Linked DNA regions of Drosophila melanogaster. The protein of the gene in region 2 interacts with the protein of the main gene of each other region in a pairwise test. Each region holds a gene or a part of one and is shown on either strand. Other genes may lie near its edges.

Region 1 (4,242 bases), on a different chromosome or scaffold from region 2:
GTCGCAGCTGACCACCAGAAAGTCCGACTTGATCTTATCGTATATGTAGCGCAGACTGTCGGCAGTTCCGAAATCCCCGTCACTAGGAATCGTGGCATAGTCCAGTCTCAGCTTTAAGGGAGTGTTTTCCAGAGCAGATTGGATCTCTAGTTTTTCTTGCTCCAGTACCACAACAATGACCTCTGAAATATTTTTCAATTAAATCCAGGTTTTTAATTCAGACTATCCGAATTACCTGTAAAGTTGTGTTGTTGCAGCAGATTTAAGGGATACCAAATCAGAGGATATGGACCCACCGGCAGCAGGCATTTGGGGGCATCCCCCAAGACCTCGGGTAGACGAGTGCCACGCCCAGCGGCAAAAACTACGGCCTGGAACTCGGTCATTGTTTCACAAAAATATAAATAATTTCGGCTAAAAAGCGTGCAAGCACAAAAAGAGCCACGCAAACAGCTGATCCAATGCAAGCGAAACACCTACGAGCGCTGTCCAACACTGCTTCCAATCAGACATATGTTTGCTGTCATGTGACTGTGCAATTGTTTTTGTTGCTTTTGCTATTGTATAAAACAAGTCAGATGACCCTTTTTGCAATGAAAATTCCCTTTTTCCACTTAATTATTACACAGAATGCACATCGTATGATACAACAAGACTTTAATGCATGATTTGCGCAGCTTACACTACACTACAAAAATGGAATACATACTTTTCTGCTTATTGGAATAGTCTACACACTTTTGCTACATAGGTACAATTAAGTTTGTGGCTTGCCCTTTGCGAATTACAATATGGAAACGGATACAGAACAGAAAATAGTTTAACAATAATATTGCTGGAATAAACACATCCAAGGTAATACTTAGAACAGCACGTCGTCATCGCCCTCATCCAGGATATTGGCCTGCTGGCGCACATCGATGCCCTGCTGCAGCAACTCCGCCTTCTTGGCGTCGGCCTTGATGCGTGCCTCGCGCTTCTTGTCCTGGATCTTCTTCAGTCGGTAGAACTCCTCACGCTCGAGCTCGTCCAGCTCCGAGATGATGTAGGCCAAAGTCCTATCGATTCGGGGGATGATCACATGCTCAATGGCGTTCACACGACGGTTGGTGATCTTGATCACCTCGTCCAGGGTGACGAATGAGGTCTGCAGCGAGGCCAGCTCCACGAGCAGTTTAACGGCGCTTTGGTAGTTCTTCTTCAGCTTGGCCAGCTGCTGACCACCACGGGCTAGACCGGCCAGTTCGTAGGTGTCGGATCCGTCCTGGTAGGACTCGAAAACGGGCAGAGTGACACCAGCCACGTTGTCCTTCTTGGTGCGGATCTTGATCTGGGCCTTGGTCACGTTTTGCAGCACCACTTGGTTGATGTCGCCAGACGTGAATTTGGCCTCCGCCAGCGAGAAGGCTGCCTCTTTCATAACATCACCCATCAGGGTCTTGGTCTCGATGATCTTGCCCAGAATCAAACGGAATCGCATCTGCAGGGCATCCGCCTTCTTCTTGAGCAGACCGTGACCTTTCTGGGCTCCAGCCAGACGGGCCTTCATCAACATCTGGGCACCACGGGACGGGAAAATCGGTAGCCTATCTTTTCCGGACATTTTGCTGTTTTTTTCGGATGGTAATTGGCTGGACTAAACAATTTTCAACTGCGTATCAAGAAAACTGCAACCGTCGCAGAACACTGAAAAACTCCAACTGGAAAATGACGGATGACAGTGTTGGCTACTGCCCGTAGCCAATCGATAACCAGTTGGTGCTGGGTAGTGCGCTTAGATACAGTACTGCAAAATACGCAGCCACAGCTGATTTTGCATTTAAAAGTAAACAAATCTAATAAATTCCATTTCTTTATTGGATTTATAATGCTTCTGCAACGCGTGTGGTTGACACATTTAAACAACCATCTACGCCAATACGCGAACAAGTCGCGAGCCCACATCAAACCAGCCATGGCCGTGAGCATGCGGATGGTCCATCAGGAGATCCTGCATTATGTAAACCCCTTTGCCAGGATCAACGTGAAGTCCGATGTTTTCCTGCGCATCCAGCCCGCGGATGTGCATCAGTATACCAGCGGGGATGTGTTTATCGCCCAACTGGTTGGCGGCCATGTCAAGAACTCGAATGTCTCTCTCGATGTGAAGGTAACCGATGAGGACAAGGTGGTCAATGTGGTGGTTAAACAACTGGCGGAGCAGCCCTCAAAGCTTGAATGCCATCTGCAAATACCTGTGCGTTCCGATGTCTCTGTGGACGCAAAAGGTAGTGTGCGAGTGGAAGGCATACAGAGTGAACTGCTGCAAGTCAAAGCAAAGGAAGGCATCCTTACCAAAAATATCAAGGCCACCCATATAAACTTGTACAGTGAAAATGGCAACATCAATTGCCAGGGCACATTGCTGGGCAAGATTACCCAAATAGAGTCACAAAATGGGGTGAGAAAAAATTTACTATCAATCTGATCTTATTATTAACCTTTATATTTCTTTTTTAGAACATTGCGATGGATAAGTTGCAAGGAGACAGCTTGAATTGTTCCACCAAAGCTGGCAGTATTGTAACCGATTGTTGTTATGTGGAAAAGTCAAAGTTTCAGACACAAACTGGGCGTCTGGAGCTCAAGAATGTCCACAAAAGCAGCGAAGTGCACGTCCATCAGTCGTCGGATCTCAATATGAGTATGCGAAACAACGAAGAATAACACCATCATGCTAAAAACTTTCAATTTCAGCTGGAGTACATGGCAATATTCAAATAACTACCAAAGGAGGAAATTTAAATGTCCAACTCTCTGAGCTAGTGGGGAGCAACAAAATCGACGCCGAGAACTTATTAGAAGAGGCTATCATACACATTTCCCAAGCCATAGAGCAGAATCTTCACATCGAGGTAACAGCCCCCGAAGTGAAATTGGAAAACGAACTGGAGCATGTAGCCCATGCTCTCAACGAGAGCAAGAACAAATTCGTGCTAAGCAATCCAAATACAAATCGACTGGAAGTAAGCAGCACAGGCGACAAGGGCGTGCGCCTGGGAAAACAGTCATGGAGCGATATGATGCGTAATAAGTTGAAGGCTACCGGCACCTTGGACGATTTACCTTAGGTAAAGACAGAGACTAACTAAGTTAAGAATATATTGTGCTGCAAGCTACAATCTCAGTCATTTTTGCTTTATCCATCATGGAGGCATGTTGTTTAGGCTTGGCCCGACTCCTTAGCCACTTTATCCTTTAAGCATTCAAGTGCCCTTGAGAAAATGGCTTCTTCCTTTCCGGCTTTGAGTGCAGACACAAACAGTTGCACCTTTTCATCGCCAATCTCTTGGAGATCCGAGTTTTCCGCTTTTATCACCATACATGCCAACAGGCGCAGCAACTTCAAGGCGTTCTCCACATACTGCTCCTTTGGAGCGTCATCCTCCTCCTCTTCGTCCTCTTCGAACTCATTGGCGTCGGGATCACTTCCCCCCGTGTAGTTGTCAATGTGCTGTTTAAGTCTATACCACAATTCCAAAAGATTTAAGAAGGCCTCCTTGTGATAGAAGTACTTCAGGCGCTGCAAAAATAAATATTTAAATAGAACGTCGAATATTAAGTATCTTTTCCAAACTTACACTCCAAATGTGCGCCAGATCCTCGAGATACTCCTCCTGGCGTTCGCCTAATGGAATGAGTTGCAGAGGCTGCTGCAAAAACTGCAGTATTCGCGCTAGACAACTGACTATACTGGGTGCATACACATCCATGGAGGCCTGCGCCTCTGGCAGTTGGACCAGAATGGTGCATATATTGAGGTAGGTTTGTATGATCTCCACATCACAGGTTATTTTTGGTCCGCACGAGTCGTAACCGACGTCGGCATCTTCATCACTGTCGTGGGCCGCTGGCACTTCTGCATCTTCGTTGTCCTCGCCAGCTTCCTCGTCGGTCAATTTTGTCTGATCATCGCGCATGAGTCGCAAAAACGCGCTATTGACCCCCTCGCAGAGTTCTGGCACTAGAAAGACCTCCGCAAAAGGCTTTAGATTCAACGTGGAGTTTGCGTTTTCCTCCTCCACCAAGGCGCAACTGGCCAGCACAGCATTTGTGGCCTTCAGTGCAGCTACTAGCAGTTCATCGCTAACGGACAGTTGCAATATCCTGCCCAGGTTCTGCGCGGAGTTCTCAAAGGCAGCAAAGCAGATGTACCAGTTCACAGCGAACTTCTCCTTGCCGCTAAGCACATGGGCCATGATG
Region 2 (4,170 bases):
GAAAATGTAAATGATAAATATTATATTCAAGATAATCAAGTTTACAAACAAAACTCAAGAAAACCAATAATAAACAAATGTATTACAGGAATATTAAATCAAATACCAACAGAATGCAGATATTCAAAAACACATAACAATATTGGAATAACTTATGTAGAACCAAACATAATTTTAACTTGGAAATTATCAAAAATTGTATTAAATCAAAACTGTATAATTAATAGAGAAATTATAATAGAAGGAGACAATATAATAAAAGCTTTTAATTGTTCTGTTCAAATAGAAAACATATTAATTACAAGCACAACACTAGACTACACACAAACGGTCTATATCAATAACAATGTAACAAAATTAGAACCATTATCATATCTAAATGCTAAAGAAATAATTAAAGAACACACTAATACATACAACACATTACAAATTATTACATTAACTATACTTGCTATTATAATACTTACACTTATACTATATTTTATTTATAAATATAAAGGCATTCCCAAAAAACTAATTGTTAAATATAAAAAAGAGAATCCACAACAAATAGAACAACAAAATAACACAACAACAGAAAATATAAATACAGTATTTGATACTAATCCTGTATTGTATCCTAGAATATCCGCCTGAGGACAGGCTAAATTTAAAGGATGGGGAAGTAGCATATGTGCCATAGTATAAGACCACATATACTTACACACACACATACATAACCACATAGGAACAGCCATACACAAAATCATAGAATGCCTTAGGATATAAGTCATAAAATCATGTATCCAATAAGAACCCAAATTCTGGTGACAATAACAAATCCAGCCTACCCTAATGTAAACATTAACATCCGCTGCCGAATCAGTTATTCCCACCAAAGGGTCAAAACCGCTTACGCAGCTCAAGTTCTCGGCTGATCAGTACCCATGAGTGATCCACTCAAGAAGGCACCCAATCCAACAGACATAAACATCCGCAGCCGCATTCGCGACTCCCACCAGAGGGTCAAAACTGCTAACACAGCTTTAAGGGTCAAAACTTTCCACGTAGCTCAAACTCGGCTGATCTATATCCATGCGCAATCCACTCAAGAGAGCGCCTAATTAACGTAAACATAAATGAGAGCCTATGTACGCTCAATATGAAGAAGTAAATAAGCTCAGCCAAGGGTTTGCTAAGCGTTCGCTTTGCAAATTAGATTTAGATTTTATTCATACTTCAATTGTGTAAGACGTGAATTTGTCTCCGACATTCGCTTAAGTTTTTGATCAATAAAAATACTTTTTTTTTATAAACCAACAAATATAATATAATATATGTATATTATGTATGTATATGTATATTTAAATCATTCCTTTCATAAGCAACTGCACACTGTTGTCTACGCTTAGTCAGATATAACTCGTAATACTTGTGAAACGATGCAAAGCCCATATTCCAGAATAGCGCGATCGTAAAAACAGTGGGAGAGAAATTTTCCTGATAGGACTTGACATTCTTATCGCTTCGGAAATATAATTAAGCATAGGAACTCACTCACTGAATTAAAATAAGACCTCGAATTGAGCAATGCACTGTGGTGCGAGTGTAATAAGATCATATATAAATCCGTTCTAATAATTCAACAATATAAAAACAACAAACAACCCGAGAACTTTCGGGTGTTTTTGCATTTTCAAGTAAAAATGATAAAATAGGAATGTGAGCGTTTAATTGGTTTTTAGACCGTTTATATGTGCGCGATAAAATAAAAAAGGTAAAACGGTAAAGATTGATTATTGTGATTTTGGAGAACTGTTTGTAACTGTCTGCAACAAAACGTTCTTCTAAAGTCCGGATAAATTTTTGGTTAAACACGTTGAAGAAGCATAAGTTGAAAATGTTGAAAACACACCATAAAAACATATACTGAGTTGCACTAATAGGGCATTTTTCAATACTATCTATGCTTTTCAAACGTTCATTATGATAAAAATAAATTATGTCAATGTCAGCCCACAATCATTTAATTATTGTCCACTTGGACAGAAAATCTTTTTAAATATTGTCAAAAGTAATAAAAAAGTTTTTACTAAAAATTGAAACATTCAATAAGTTATTTTAGTTATTTAATACCAGGGGATACGGAGTTTTGTGCTTACATTTCAATTGAAGTTAAATAGTTTCGTTGCCCAGTGATAGACGTATTTGAAAAGTGACTCTCTCTCGAACTACTGTGCAACGAAATCCGACATCCGTTGAGGGGTCCGATAGGCTGGCGCAAAAGCTGGGTTGCCAGTGACTTGAGCTCTGCGATGACAACCTCAAGTCTTGCAATCGGCGCATCCGTAGCGCTTATTCTGTTGATGTTGACTGGTTCAGGGCATTGCCAAGTGGGATACGTGCGGCACCTGTCGGAGCTGCGGATAAGGGAACTTGAAAAATTGTCGGTTCGTATACAGGGCTCCATCAACACCGAAAAGTATGCCTGCGAGAGCTATTTCGACTACGTCTGTAGCCGCAATCGACCCCTCTTTTCGATCATGGGTAAGTGAGGAAAGCCTGTGTTGGGGGAGTGCCTAATGCATATACCCTATCCAAGGACACATGCCGCAAATGGGCGATCTTATGCAGTTGCTGACCGAGCTGCAGAACGATCCAGAGCCATTCGAGGCTAAGCAGAAGACGCTGGACTTCTTCATCTCCTGCAACGTGCACCACGCGCTGGAAGACTGCTATCGTGAGACCTATGAGTATTTCAAGCCACTTTTCGGGTATATAGTTACAAAAAACATGCTCAATGGAGAATCCCACGAGCTGGATGACTTTCTGGGCATTTTGGACCGCTTCGTCGTCAGGTTTCAGAAGGACAGAGAGTCGAATCCCATTCTCAGCAAGCTGGCCACGTATAAGCAGAAATTTAAAACGCCGCGAGTCTACTTCCATGCTAGAGACCTGAGCCGGGAGTACAAGGACCTGCGGATCTACCGGGAGAGCTACGAACACAACGTTCGCAATCTGGAGCAGCACAGAAAACTGAATTCAACATACGAATTGGGGGTTCAGCGCACCATGCTGGATTGGAGCATGTACCTCTTTCAGAGCCGCAACAAGCCCATGTCCTACTTCTACTCCACGTTTACGGTCCATTTGTACATGATGCTTTTTAATAGTCTGGAGCGTCAGCGTGATTTCACGCGGTTTCGCGAAGATGTGGAGTGTTTAAGGCTGCCGCAGTTCGTTAATGTTCTGGATGAGGCCAGAATGCTGGCTGTGATCTACTTAAAGAGCTTCCGAGCGGCCTGGATAGACTACAGCGCCTGGATCAACTCGCCTCCACAGAACAGTGGGATATACGATCAGGAAAATGGCGTCCTTCAAAAGTACCATCTTGACAACAAGCGTATATTTTTTACTCTTTACGCTCAGAACTTCTGTGAGTTTGGGAAGGATCTGGCCGAGCATGTCTTCTATCTGGGCCTTAAACAGAACAAGGACTTTTACGACATATACTCTTGTGGATTCCAAACGGAAAACCCTATGACTTGTGTTTAAAAGATCAAGACCATTTCTACCATATATTTAGTTTACGAGATACAATAAAAGCAATAACATTCTCATAAAGGTGTACAAACCATTTGAAAAAAATGGCTTTCACTAAAAAACAAGCGAAGTTAAGATACCCAAATATCAGATACCCGTTACTCAGCTAGTGAAAGAGCAAACGAGAAATTTCTTCCATATCGATTGAAGTTGGGAAAAAAATAAAAAAAAGAAATATATAATAAAAAATTTTGAAAGCGTGGGTCATGCATACGGGCGGCTTGTGGCCAAAAACTGAAATGTAAAACAAGAGAGAATGCTTAAGTCGAGTTGCACGACTATCAGATACCCGTTACTCAGCTAGTGCGAATGCGAACGCGAAATTTCATAATTTTTCTGGGATATCGATAGATGGGGAATAAAATGAAAAACAAATTAAAAATGGCTTAAAAGTGTGGGCGTGACCGGTTTGGAAGCTTAAGGTCGTTAGAGTGGACGTGAAAAAAATTGTTTGGCTAACCGATAGAATATTACAAGACTTATAAAATTATGAAAAAAATGTAAACATTTTGCAATAGTGTGGGCGTGGCAGTTTTGGGCGGTTTTAGGGCGTTAGAGTGGGCGTGGCAAATTTTTTTGGCAAATCGA

The links.
Region 1: the proteins of CG1092 (region 2) and CG8187 interact in a two-hybrid assay, tested with the Drosophila melanogaster proteins (one large-scale study listed by BioGRID).

What each region holds. Positions count from the first base shown.
Region 1 is NT_033778.4:15,538,898-15,543,139, reverse strand, and holds CG8187 (uncharacterized protein), read left to right. Parts: upstream 1-1,776; 5' UTR 1,777-1,867; coding exon 1,868-2,440; intron 2,441-2,499; coding exon 2,500-2,683; intron 2,684-2,736; coding exon 2,737-3,110; 3' UTR 3,111-3,202; coding exon of another isoform or gene 3,203-3,562; 3' UTR 3,563-3,586; downstream 3,587-4,242. Other genes in the region: eIF2Bgamma (eukaryotic translation initiation factor 2B subunit gamma), read right to left, coding at 1-182, 236-386; Vha36-1 (vacuolar H[+] ATPase 36kD subunit 1), read right to left, coding at 863-1,603; CG30467 (uncharacterized protein), read right to left, coding at 3,203-3,562, 3,621-4,242.
Region 2 is NT_033777.3:4,264,680-4,268,849, forward strand, and holds CG1092 (uncharacterized protein), read left to right. Parts: upstream 1-2,090; 5' UTR 2,091-2,294; coding exon 2,295-2,526; intron 2,527-2,581; coding exon 2,582-3,534; 3' UTR 3,535-3,637; downstream 3,638-4,170.